Drosophila melanogaster: one gene and its partners. The gene in region 3 interacts genetically with the main gene of each other region. Each region holds a gene or a part of one and is shown on either strand. Other genes may lie near its edges. The genes, in order: Atf-2, bi and p38b.

Region 1 (3,710 bases), on a different chromosome or scaffold from region 3:
CACCTACCAAATGGAGGTGCGTCGGCGCAAGAGCGAGGTCATCACTAAGTTACAGGAGTCTGAGCAGCGACGCAAAATTCTGGAGATGGAGAAGGACATGGACCTGCTGATGCACAGTATTGAGCGTGAGCGTCGGCGTCACAACCAAGAAATGCAGCTGGCCGAAGATGAAATTCGTAACCAGGAGATGGAGCTCCTTGCCCAGCGCTACTACTCGGATACGGAGGGTGCTCCACTGGCACAGAAGTATTACGACAAAATCCAGAAACTTTGCTATCAGCGTGATCAGCTGCAGAAAAACTTGCGTGATGTATGTGATAAAAGATTTTAGATTGTATTCTGTGATCTCCTAAGTCTACTTTCTTCCGAACAGATGACCATGGAACAGCTGCGAACTCCAGCAACATCATCTGTGCAATTTAGTCCCCAGCTGGTGGATATCGAGAATTCCATTTTTGAGATACAGAGAGAGTTTACGGAAATCATAACCACAGACAAAACATTGGAGTACAGAAGGAATTTAACTTAACTGAGGCTTTTTTGTACGAATAAACTACAAGGCTAGGATTATGTACATGGCACTAGAAAATAAATAAACAAGGCATATTGGTTATTTCTTGGCCGCGCTTGCGTTGCTGGCGGACGAAGGCACTAACACGTTGGGCACATTGATGAGCAAGTGTATACTGGATGGTGGAATCCGCAGCTGGTCGGCCACCACTATAAACGAAAATAAATTAACTTAACTTCAGGAATGGTTTATTAAAGCTTACCGCCAGCTAAGCTGCTGTGACTCCTGTGCTGCTGCAGTTCCTTTTCTAATCTGGAAATTCTTTCGTGCAGTTCTTGATTCTCCTGCTGCAGCTGGGCGTTCTGTTTGATGAGGTCCTTATGCTCGTTTCGCATCTTGTTACGGTAACGAGAGGCTGCTGCTCTTCGTCGCTCCATACAATCCTCGTCCCGACTGCGATCCTTTGCTTTCGCAGCCTTGGGCGGTGTGGAGAAACTTCGTCTGTTATTATTGCTGTGGATAATGGCCTTCAATCGCTCCTTGATGGGCAGCTGTGAGGTGGGCGTCAGACTGGCGCTACTGGGCTCGTTATTAGGTGGGTTGCAACTGACCAAAATAGGCTCGGGTCTTTTACTGGTCTTGTTTAATTCTTTCGCAGTGGGTTTCGGCAGTATGAAGGGATGAATGGCACCAGTCGGCTTCACCCTGTTTCTGTTACAATCAACTGTAGCGATGGAAATGGGAACTGACTGCGCAGGCAGCACCCATGTTAGGACCTGGGGCTGGATCAACTGCAGCGGCGGCGGACCATCTTGACTGGCTTTGGAAGGCGAGGTAACTGTCGTGGCCAGAAGCTGGTCCACATCCATATCGCCGCAGCTGACACTTTGTGGGACCTGATTTTCAGACGGAACTGATACCACGGTGGGGGCCTCGACGGGATACACCTGGGGCGTGTGCAGGGACTCACCGTCATTGGGTCGAGCCTCTGGGCGACTCGGAGTGCCGCTGACATTTCGCTCCGCTGCTTGCTGGAATCCAATGTCAAATGGATTTACGTGCTGCAGGTCCTCGAAGAGACCCACCTCGTCGCAGTTCTTGATGAGTCGCGTAGGCGTGGGCGTTTGGTCGGCGGCAAATAGAGTGTCTGACTTCTGCCCGAGAGAAATGTCTAGCGAAACATGTTCCGTCTGTGCCCGAAAGTTCTGATAGCAGGATACGTCGCCCTCTGGGGATTTTGTCTCAAAGTCGCCGAAGGACACACTGGCCAGGTGATCCATGTCTCCGGCGGTGTCCATGTCAGAAGTTACATCAAAATCATGCTATTTACAAATCAAACTCCATAATCTGCCGACAATTCTCAATTAAAACAACTATTTTGTAAATCACATTAGCAAAACAAAAAATAAAATTGTTATCGATGTATGGATGTGTTATTGAACCTATCGGACTCCATTAAGAAACCAACTCTGGCTGCAGTGCTGGAAAAGGTACTAAGTTCTTCTGCCGTAATTACGATGTAAAATGTATTTTATTACTGGTAGAACAAAGATCATAACGTAGAACTTAAAATAAATCAAATAAATACTGAATAATCTTCATTGTGTAACAAAATAAGTAAAGGAATTTTCAAACCTCGATATAATGTATATTTTATATGTTGTTTACCTTAGCACAGTAGTGATGTGTGCAAACCGATATATCGATACCGCGAGTGGGTGCAAAAAAGGCGCGCGAATGTTTTCAATTTGAATCTGGTTACCAATAAATACTGTGTGTAAAAAATACCCCTCTGTCATGAGACCCTTATTATTCCTAGCCTTTCTGTGTTTGAAGCTGTTATGCAACCACTCTTGACATTCGGCATTTCCGCAACGAAATTGCGTATCTGCCATCGCATCCAAAATGCCAAAATGCGAGTCTTCGGCACGTAGAAGCAATCATATGTGAAGAAGAGGAAGGTAAAGCGAAGAAAAAACATCGAAACATTTTTGGTAGCCAAGAAAACCCCATAATTTAAAATTTGTATCTTTTAAATTAGATTTCTCATTGGAGGAACAAGCAGAAAACAGACAGCGGACAAAACAACACGCAAAATGATTTCAAGCCGCTCGCATTTTGGGAAATATGCACGCAACGAAACGAGCAATTTTCTAAAACTCTGCCGCACAAAAAGCAGCAGACTCGACTTGTGGGTCAAGTTCAGTGCTTAAATTGTTCCCAGCGAGAAGATGGAGGACCCCTTCCGGCCCTCGTCCTCGTTGTTCACCACCACTCCAATCCGCTCCGTTTGCGAGGAGGAAGGGCCGCAAGATGCACAGCATGAAAATTAAGAAAAAGTGATGCGTAATTACAGTCATTCTCTTTCACTGCAGCCAAGCGGGCTATTCCACACAGCCATACCCTTGGCCATGTCCCGATCTCGATCCCATCCCATCCCATTCCATCCCATCCCTGCCACGTTGCATGCAACGGACGCGCGTTTTTCGGACAGCGTGGTCCATGGTCCATGGAGCTATGGGATGGAGATGGGTTCCGATCCTCGGCTCTGGATTCTCGTTTCTCGGACTGCGCTGCTGCCGGTAGAAACAATCAGTTTGAAGTTCGTTCGCATAATTATGGGCAATTTTCAAAGAACATGCGTTCCGATGAACATCTCTCTCTTGCCCGCATTCAAAGTATCCATACCCATCAGCTCCTTTTCCTGCCCCACCGCCACATCCTTTCCATCATCGCACTGCAACCTCGCCATTTTTCTTACTGTCCGTCGGTCTCTGTGGTTAGGATCAAGTGGCTGAGTGCACAAAATTTTTTTCCAAACTTGGAATAGCTTGCGATCAGGCTAAAGTAAAGCTTGAGAACAAATGTTTGAATAAGTTCCATAAGAACTTGAATTTTATTTGAAAAATATGTAATATAAAGGTATAGCAGTCCTCATAGTGATACATTGGTATTTAAGACTTGACCAGATTAACCATTCCATTTTAGCAAAGACACGTTTGGCATGACCCTAGCGTTGGTTACCAACTTGATGATCAGGTTTCTGGCCCTAGGAAATTTGCAAAGGAGTCAAGGACCGCAATTGGCCATAACGGCATGTGCGGCCTACAGGATCCGGCTGGTATCCAGCTCAGAGGATCACACTGTCCTTTCATAAATATTCAAAAACGGAGTTCCTCGAACGCCCAACATTTGTTTT
Region 2 (4,668 bases), on a different chromosome or scaffold from region 3:
GGCTTCTTCCTCCCCTGCCAAGTCAGCTGGCGTGTTAGTCAGTCAATAGATAGAGCCAGGATAGCAGGATACAAAGGATCTGTCCATCGGATGTACAAACGTACACGCATCCATATACGAGTATGTACACACACATATAATATAGATGTGGTGCGTATTTATCGGTTAAGTGTGCAGTGTGTTTGTTGCCTTCAACCCCAAAAAAAAAAAAAAAACAAGGATAAGTGCCGCATCCAGGCCATTCCCAATTCCCGAAATCCAAAAAATACAATCCCCTCTTCCGTTTTCTTCCGCCGGTTGTAGCAACAACAATGGAGCTGGCATTTTATAGTAGCAGAGTACACAGTACATACCCCACCGAATACGGAATACGGAATACTGAATCGTGATTCCCGAATCATAGCCATATCCATGTCATAAGTCCGTTAGCAGCTTACCAACGAACAACCCCGACTGGAAACCTCACCAATTAATTGGTGAAGTCAGCAAAAGATATAGGTATTATGTGTTGTGGTATTTTGGAACTATTTTAGGTATATATAACACTTAATTCCGTAATTCGATCAAGACAATATATATTTCCAACTGTGTAATAATGTAATCCCTACTAAATGAGGATCAAAAAGAAAATGCATGTTCCCTCGGAAACAAGAAGAAAACATTCTCTAATATGTAATACAAATGGTTAAGGGTTGTTACCTACTTTCGAAAAGGGTTGAGTACTACGTTTCTAAACAGTCATAAAAGTCACTAATCGCTAATAAGCAGTGCAATAAACTACTCGAAAGAGAAAATTATTTTGGTGCTGGGGAAAATCCTTTCCTACAAAACATTGCTCTGTAAACGCGAATGATAATAGCCAGTGGCTTGGAATATTAGATTTATAAATATCCTTGATTTTCAGGCTTAGTATTTCGAAATTAGAACAAGTAGTCAAAATGTTTGCACGTTTTAAATCCTTTTCCGTATAACAATAGATAAATAGAAAAATGTCTAATTATTTTTGTACATCTTCAAGTGAAAGAACTTTGTGTGAGACCAGATTGATCGAGTGCTTGGCCAAGTATTCATTCTTGTGTTCATGGCTCAGTTCGTTTGGCACAACAGAGCGAAGCGACAAATCCAGTTCTGAATACAAGTTTGTATCGGTGGTCCTAGGCGGCTACGATCTCCTCCGCGAATCCCCTTGATCCCCTCCCTATTGAATAAGGCCCCATACAAAAAACCGGACTGTGCCGCAGACGCCGACTTGAGATATTATGTTTTCCGCAGCTGTCAAATTTGATTTGACAAATGTAAATAATACGGACAGACAAAGAGATTGTTGACATAATGGAAGGCGAGCTGATTTACACTTTTAGCTGCGTGTCGAGATGCGATCGTGATCTCGTCTCCGGAACCCCGCTCCCCAACTCTCCCCCCCCCCCTTATCCATCGCCATACATTGCATATATATAGTTTTTTTTTTTTTTTCTTTTTTGTTTTGTCATGCCTGAACAACTTGCAAATCTAGCGACTGTTTGACTGACTGCCTCCGGCTAATGGCTACAAATTGTCACATCAGTTAAGTAGCGAAAAAAGTATGAGAAAACAATTGACGAGGCGATAAACTGATGATACGGGTTCGGAAAGAGTTAGCTAATTGGATAATGGTTCCGATTTCGTTGCGCTTGAGCAGATCGGGATGGGGAATCTCCTGGGGGTTGGATCAATCAATCTAGACAATCTCCCTGGTGTTATGCGATGTGATTATCATAATGGGAAGGAGTTCCACCACGCTTTGTTTAAGGACTTTCCTATTAACTCATTGGATCACCAAAATATTGAAAGTAATTATCAGTAGTTCTACATTTAATGTTTGTAAATTTCTCATTTCTCAAGTAGGGAAAAACCAAGGAGTAGATTTTTTTGATAGTATACTATTTATTTCCAAGGGCAGCATAAACATAATATATTTGTATACCATTATGTTTTCATGATCTGAAACGGTATTTTGAAAATCTCAGGCGGAAACCAGTGTGTTTTTTATTTATATTCTTTGGACCTCCCACCTTGCTGTTGTTTGATTTTTATATATGTTTTTTTTTTTAAGTTTAAATACTCCACACTTTACGCACTTTTCAAACACAATTTTCTTTAATCTTGTCAGGTTTTCAAAAAATTCTGGACTGCACAAAAAAACAAAACAAAACAGAATCTGCAGGGTGATGTTGTTTCTTGATTCCTTATCGTCGACGGCCACGAAACGGTTAACGGTTAGCGGTTAAACGGTGAGCCGTATCGGTTAAGGTCAGTGTATTTATTTTGCCTTCGGATTGAAGCAAAAAAGGGGAATCACACGTAAACACGGCGAGACATTTGGTTTATCTGACGACGCGACGGCAAAAGCGTTTGACGTGAGCGTGTGACAGGCGGCGACTGCTGGCCGAGAACGATCCAAAAAGCCGAAAAGCCCGAAAAACGAAAAAAAAAAAAAAAACAACAAATAACCGGGCCAAGACGACGCCGAGCGCCAAAGTGCAAGAAGCCGGCAGCGACGTTCGCAGCGACGCCGGCAGAATGCGAAAGTGGGGAATCCCCATCGCGTGGGGGGAGGTGGGTTGGCCCGTGTTATGTTCACCACACGCGGGCAAAAAAGCTAAGGCCAGCTTAGCATAGGTTTTCCCCCTCGCCGTGCTGTCGAATGACAAGCATTTTGACACCCAAGTCGTGGGTAGTCTTGTAGTTGCTATTTTGTGGGTTACATATTTTCTTTTTAAAGCCCTTCTGTGTAATCCCTACACTCTATGCTCTCAGCTTTACTTGGCGAGGCCATTCTTTCTTTGCTTTCCTTCTTCTTGTCTTTATACGTAGCCTACCCTCCTGGTCTAACCCTATATAAGTATAAACGTATTCTTTCTTTCTTTGAGTGAAATCCCTCTGTGCGTTTTAAACCCACGTACACCCCTGGATTTTCCGCTGTGATCTCCGCTCTTCGTTTCATATGAAGTGTCGACGTTTACTAACAGAATTCCAATTTTGAATGACGCTATTCGCCACTCTGCTCGACGCTTTGCTTCACAAAACCCACCACGGCAGCACAGTCGACGTCGGCAGAGGCAGAGGCACGAATTCGCCTCGTTTCGCTTCGTTTTGAGTGAGCACTTCTTTGCATGTGTGTGTGTGTGTGTGTGAGTAATTGAGCACTTACTCAGAACCGGTTTATGCTAGGTTTTTTTTGTATCCTATTTGGTCCGAGCCAGGATAACAACACGCCGGATAACTCACGCACATTCGAATCGCATCCTTTGACTTCTTGGGAAAAAAGGACAACGGCTTAACCGTTAAATGTGTGTGTGTATGGTGTCCATTTTTTTTGGGGGGGGATACTACGAAAAACTGGAGCACAGATTAAGTCGCTGCCAAGCGAAAATAAACAAATTTGCAGAAATACGTGGAACCAATTTCGGGTAAAAGGAGCCAAATAAAAAACAAACTAGGATGTTGGCATTGTTATGACCTTAAGTATATGAAATCTGGAAACAGCTTTAAGATATTAAAACAGCTAAGAATCCTTTTAAGACGTAAATATGATTGTAGCTATTAGTTAAGTAATATATATACCATATATATATGTATATATTTGGGTTGGAAATACTTGGTAATCAAATGAAAGTAAAAACAAAAAGCTCAGCTTTAAAAAAAACACTAAATATTAATTCTAAGTTACAGAAAAAATATACAAAACCAGAGATAGTTGGGACTGTATTCAGATTGAGCTAACAGCTTATAAGAAATTATTTAAAAGGATTTTCGTAGGAATAATTGTTGAATTTTTTATATCTTGAACTGAGAATTTAGAATTTTAAGCAACTTTTTTTTTATATATTAACGAATTTATAAATTATAAAGCTTAAAAAAGGAAGAAGCTCAACAAGAAGCAAAAAGAAGGATGAAGATTGTGCGTGCGAAAGGGAGGACCGATGTCACGCAGAGCTAACGGTAGTCGGAATGCCATATGACACTTTCCTTCGCTTTTCGCCTTTTCTTGGGTTTTCATCCGCCGAAGCGCCAGAACGTAATGAATAAAATATGCAATAAGCGTAAAGCAGTAGAAATATGCAAATTCGTTTACAACGTCGCATCTTCTCTACTCTTGCTTTCAAAACCTCCATCCACAAACGCATTCCCTCTCGCTCACACTGCGGCACTTTCGCATGGGTGCGAAAAAGACGGCCATAAAGCAACGCCCCCTGCAAGGCGACCATTTTACACAGTTTCATGTGCGCAAGAACGAGAAGGCAAGTGCCAGAGGGAATGCGCATTCTCGGTGAGAAAGAGTGGGAGAGCGAGTGAATGTGTGTGTGTGTGTGTATGACTGAGTGAGTGAGTTGAGCGTTTTTTACCGGACTGTGGTGAGTTTTTTTCTCATCTCATCGCGATCGCTTAGTGGGCGGAGTCTCGGGCTTGTGTTCATGTGTGTGCGTGTAGAAGCGAGATAGCGTTACATGGCGAGAAGGAAAACACGCACACACACGTAGTCAGCGATTTTGTCACACAGGCAAAAATGTCCTTTTCCGTCTCCGTGCCTTCTCGTGTCCCTTATTTCTCAGTTTCCACTTCACCTATATGGCTTTATTCGGTTTTTTGGCGCGAAATTTTAGGCTCAAATTCGGAAAAGGGAGCTAA
Region 3 (4,343 bases):
GAACCGGGCAGTTCCAGTGCGGCAGCCGGCATTGCGGGGAGCGGGATAATCTGCGCAGCTGGGAGGTAAACTTTAGGTATATCGAAAAGGGTGAGCCCCTAAATGCGCTGGTCAAGGTGGGTTCCAAATGGGTTTCCGCGATTGTGTCACTAATGGGAATTCCATAGGTGCGGCTGTGTCCCACCCACACGGATCAGCTGAACTACCGCACCAAGAAGAGAGAATGCAAGAAGCGGAGACGCAGGGAAAAGGAGGAACGGCGCGCTGAAAAGAAACGTAAGCGTCGAAAACTCGATGTTGGTCACGAAAGTTCTGGCGAAGAGGAGGAGGAGCCTGTCGAACCAGCATCCGAATCCCATCCAGAAGCCAGCAAGGAGCCCACAGACTCAAAGGATGCCACCACGGCAGACGAACAGATCTGGCAACAACAACCCGATATAAGCCGAGAGCAAGCCTCCAGAGAGCAGGAATTCGAGCGATATCTAGAGGATCTCATTTTTTAAAATACATAGCACATTTATTTGGATTCAACGTAGACACTAGTGCTCTTTTTTATAGTTACTGGCCGCTAGATGCGTTCGCTTACGAACTACGATGTACATGTACACTCACATTTACAGGATTATTCACAAGAACTGCGTGTTAAAACCGACACCAAATCTAAAGTTGAACTGGACATTAAGGCTGTGACTCTGATTGATTTTTGGAAACATTTCCGAATGGCTACATTTCAGGCATGCACCTAGTTCAATCGCTATTTCTATATCCATCGAATGCAAATCGAAGGTTCGAAAATACAATACTATTTCACCTTACGTTTGTGGTCAAAACAAATTGTTGAAATCCAGCCACTGAAGAGTTTCTAAATATAAATCGCTCTAGAATAAATATCCCCGATTGTTTACACTCGACGAGTAGAGAAATCACGACTGAGCGCATCCGCTTGAACTAGGTGTAGAAAAGACTGTTCTAATTGTATATAGCATCATTGAACGGAGAGGGATGGCGGCCGGGATTACTGCTCTTTGGGCAGGAGCTCAGCGAAGGCGGCTGTGGGCTTGAAGGCCGTCACCTCGCTGAAGACCATCTCCCGCCACTTCTCCACCGGCAGCTCGTTCTCCTCGAAGCTCTGGTCGTAGAGCGCGGCGGTCTGCTCATCGGTTGGATCGTGGTACTTCTCCATGTACGGATGGGCCAGCGCCTGCTCGGCGGTTATGCGCTTGTCGGCGTCAAGTTCCAGCATCTTCTCCAGCAAATCGATGGCCAGCGGATTGGCACCGCGGAAGATGTCGCGGAAATTGCGGCGCGGCATCACCGGCAGTGAACGAATATAGTTTCTAGCGCTCTCCGAGGAGATGCGGCTCATGAACTCATCAGCTGGCGTGCCCAGCACTTCCATGATGAGGTTCAGCTGATGGATGTGATCGGTTCCAGGGAACAGCGTGCGCCCAGTCAGCAGCTCAGCCATGATGCAGCCCACCGACCAGATGTCCGCCGTCTGGTTGTAGTGCATCCAGTTGAGCATGATCTCAGGCGCCCGGTACCATCGCGTTGCGACGTATCCGGTCATCTCGCTTTCTGCGGGACGGGCCAAACCGAAATCCAGGATGCGAAGCTCACAGTCCTCGTTTACCGCAATGTTCGATGGCTTTAGATCACGATGGATGACCCCAGCGCTGTGGATGTACTTCAGACCGCGCAGGATTTGGTAGACCAGAAACTGGACATGATCATCAGACAGTTTCTGCGTGCGTATTATGTTGTTCAGATCGGCGTCCATCAAGTGGGTCACCATGTACACTTGCTGGAACTGATCCAGCGAATCGGCGGGCTGTCCTGGATGAAAGACATCCAGCAGACCAATAACGTTCTCGTGATCCATGTGCTTCAGCAGCCGCAGTTCCCGATAGGTGCGCTTCGCATGGACCGCCGACTGGAAGGGCCTGGCAAGCTTCTTGATGGCCACCTTCGTGCTGGTTCCGCGGACCACGGCCTTGCAGACCTGGCCGTAGGCACCCTGACCCACGGGTTGCAGGTTCTGGTATGTTTCCGGGATTTCCCACTCGGTGCGATTGATGTCCAGCTTGTAGAATTTGGCCATTTTGCGCGACATTTCGTTGGGATGTTCTGTACGCTCAGGTGCGGTGCTATAATGTTATTAATCCGCTGGCTCTTTTTTTGGGCAGTTCTTCTTCTTGCTTGTGGGATTAGTTATCTCTGTTCCACACTTCGCGGCCTCAACATTGCTGGAAATGAGTAATCGTACCGGGTATTACGGGAAAACGTAGCTAATTTCGGGTATTCCTGCCCAGATTCATTTGTATCTGCACAAATAAGTTGCAACTTACATCTCTCGGATTTTATTTATGCTATTCCGCTGCGCCTACACCTTTTCTGATTGGACAACAACGCTGTCTTGGCTATCGATAACCGCAAATGGGTCCGATTTCCAATCAGCTGCTGCTCGTTTATGCGTTAACATGGTTGGCTTTAGGGTGTCCCCTACAAAAATCAGAGTCCATCGAGGCAGCGGATCAATTCACAAAGCTTCTGCGCAGTTTGGTTGACAGAGTACATGATCGTCACAAACAATAATAATAATTAGATTTTTATATGCAATTTTGATTAAAGTTTTTAAGATTATATTACAATTTAAATACTTTCAATATTATTTGGAGAGTTCTATGTATGTATTCTTTATTATCACACCTTTGAGAATAAGAAATATTTAAATTAAAAATGCATTAATTAAAGCAAAAAATGAACTTATATGAAACCATAAACTCGTGAATAATGTGGTAATATCATCCACTTCAGTAAATACTTAGTTATACGTTAAAAATATAATTTTAAGGTAGAGTACTCCCTCGTCGACCATGGACATAAAGCTAATTTTAAAGCTTAACATGGGCCGGTAACAGAAGGCGGTCAGTTGGCGCAAGCTGGTTTAGTTTCAATCGGTCGCTCGTTGGCAGAACATCGAAGGTCCGGGTCGTGACGCTTTTCGCCCGAACGTTTTTTGCACGAGTTTTTTCCATACGTATTTGTTCATTGACAAAAACTCAAGCTGCGCTCTGTGCGTGCGTGTGTATGTGTGTGTGCGAGTGAGTGTGTGTGTGCTGGCGCGTCTGTGTGAGTGCGGTGCTTTGTGTGCAGAATAATTTTTGCAAACATTATGTAAATGCGCAAATTAAAGTTCAATCGACGCCCGTTTTGAGTACGAAACCAGATCGCCTTGCTTTAAGTGCCACGGAGCTACAGTTTCTTTTCGTACCCAATTTTTCAAAGATATACTCCCTCAGTAGGCAGGCACGCACACAAACATACACAGGATCTCAAACGATCCCCCGGATATACCTTTACCGTTAGGAAAATTCAAAATGGCCACGACAGCGGCCGCAATGGCCGCAACGAGTGTAGTTGTTCTGGATCGCGGAAACAATACAACCTGCACCATCAACTTGCACGGTGAGCAGAATGTCTTGAAACAATGATAAACAACAAATGAATAGCTGGCGAACAATTAATCATAATTAAGAAGACACCACCAGCACTTTGCCAAAATTTTGTTGGCGTTATTTTTAGCGGATGATTGGCGCTTAGACTCTTCCGAAACCGAAACCCGTTTCGCCCCCTATTCTCGATGTATTCGCGACCTCTGGAGGTTATCAATTCGTTCTGGAAATAACCTTGTTTTTACCTTTCGCTGTTCTACGCACCAGCCAGAGGGCCTTTGCTATCTTATCAGCCGAGATCGTCGCAATTTAGGCGCTATATGTACATATATGCCCCCACTCGATCCAATCGCTGGGGATCAGTTGGGTTTCGGTTTTGGAAAAGCTTAGAGCTTGGAGTTTGGATCTTGGAGATCGGATCGATGCGGCTCCTACTCGCAGCACATTTCGATTAGGCGTCATATATATGTATATGGTTCGTACATATATGTATACAGGTCCCTCTCTATGAGCACCTATGTACATATGTATGTATGTGAGCTGGCACTGGTGTACCCAGCGTACTTTCAACAATTACGACTGCCTGTGTCTGGGCTGCCCACGTTGCTTTCCAAGTCGCAGCCGTTTGAGCAACAGTCAGACGGCCAGAGACACAACAGCGTTTGGAACAGACAGCATATCGTACACCGGAAGAAATAACTACATATATATCTAATGGAAATTCTTGAGATCTTCATAGTTTCTTATCGGAAAGAGTTTCAGTGGCTAAGGCATTAAGGATTAAAGATCTTTACTAAATTCACTTGCAATGATTTTCTTAAAGATATTTATATGATCCCATGTATATGATTATTTTTCGTGTTCCACTTACTCTTCCTCTTCAATTAA

The links.
Region 1: of p38b (region 3) and Atf-2, changing one enhances a phenotype caused by changing the other (phenotypic enhancement), as found in Drosophila melanogaster (one study listed by BioGRID).
Region 2: of p38b (region 3) and bi, changing one enhances a phenotype caused by changing the other (phenotypic enhancement), as found in Drosophila melanogaster (one study listed by BioGRID).

What each region holds. Positions count from the first base shown.
Region 1 is NT_033778.4:24,868,309-24,872,018, reverse strand, and holds Atf-2 (activating transcription factor-2), read right to left. Parts: upstream 1,912-3,710; 5' UTR 1,810-1,911; coding exon 774-1,809; intron 721-773; coding exon 611-720; 3' UTR 530-610; downstream 1-529. Other genes in the region: CG16896 (uncharacterized protein), read left to right, coding at 1-310, 374-529.
Region 2 is NC_004354.4:4,411,195-4,415,862, reverse strand, and holds the start of bi (bifid), read right to left. Parts: upstream 3,008-4,668; 5' UTR 2,943-3,007; intron 2,402-2,942; exon of another isoform or gene 1,964-2,401; intron 1-1,963. UniProt on the Drosophila melanogaster protein: Essential protein that may function as a transcription regulator. Vital for pupal development. Required for proper development of the optic lobes and wings, and abdominal pigmentation.
Region 3 is NT_033779.5:13,778,770-13,783,112, reverse strand, and holds p38b (p38b MAP kinase), read right to left. Parts: upstream 2,425-4,343; 5' UTR 2,349-2,424; intron 2,247-2,348; 5' UTR 2,114-2,246; coding exon 1,016-2,113; 3' UTR 504-1,015; downstream 1-503. Other genes in the region: CG16890 (uncharacterized protein), read left to right, coding at 1-116, 168-503; CG9008 (uncharacterized protein), read left to right, coding at 3,381-3,468.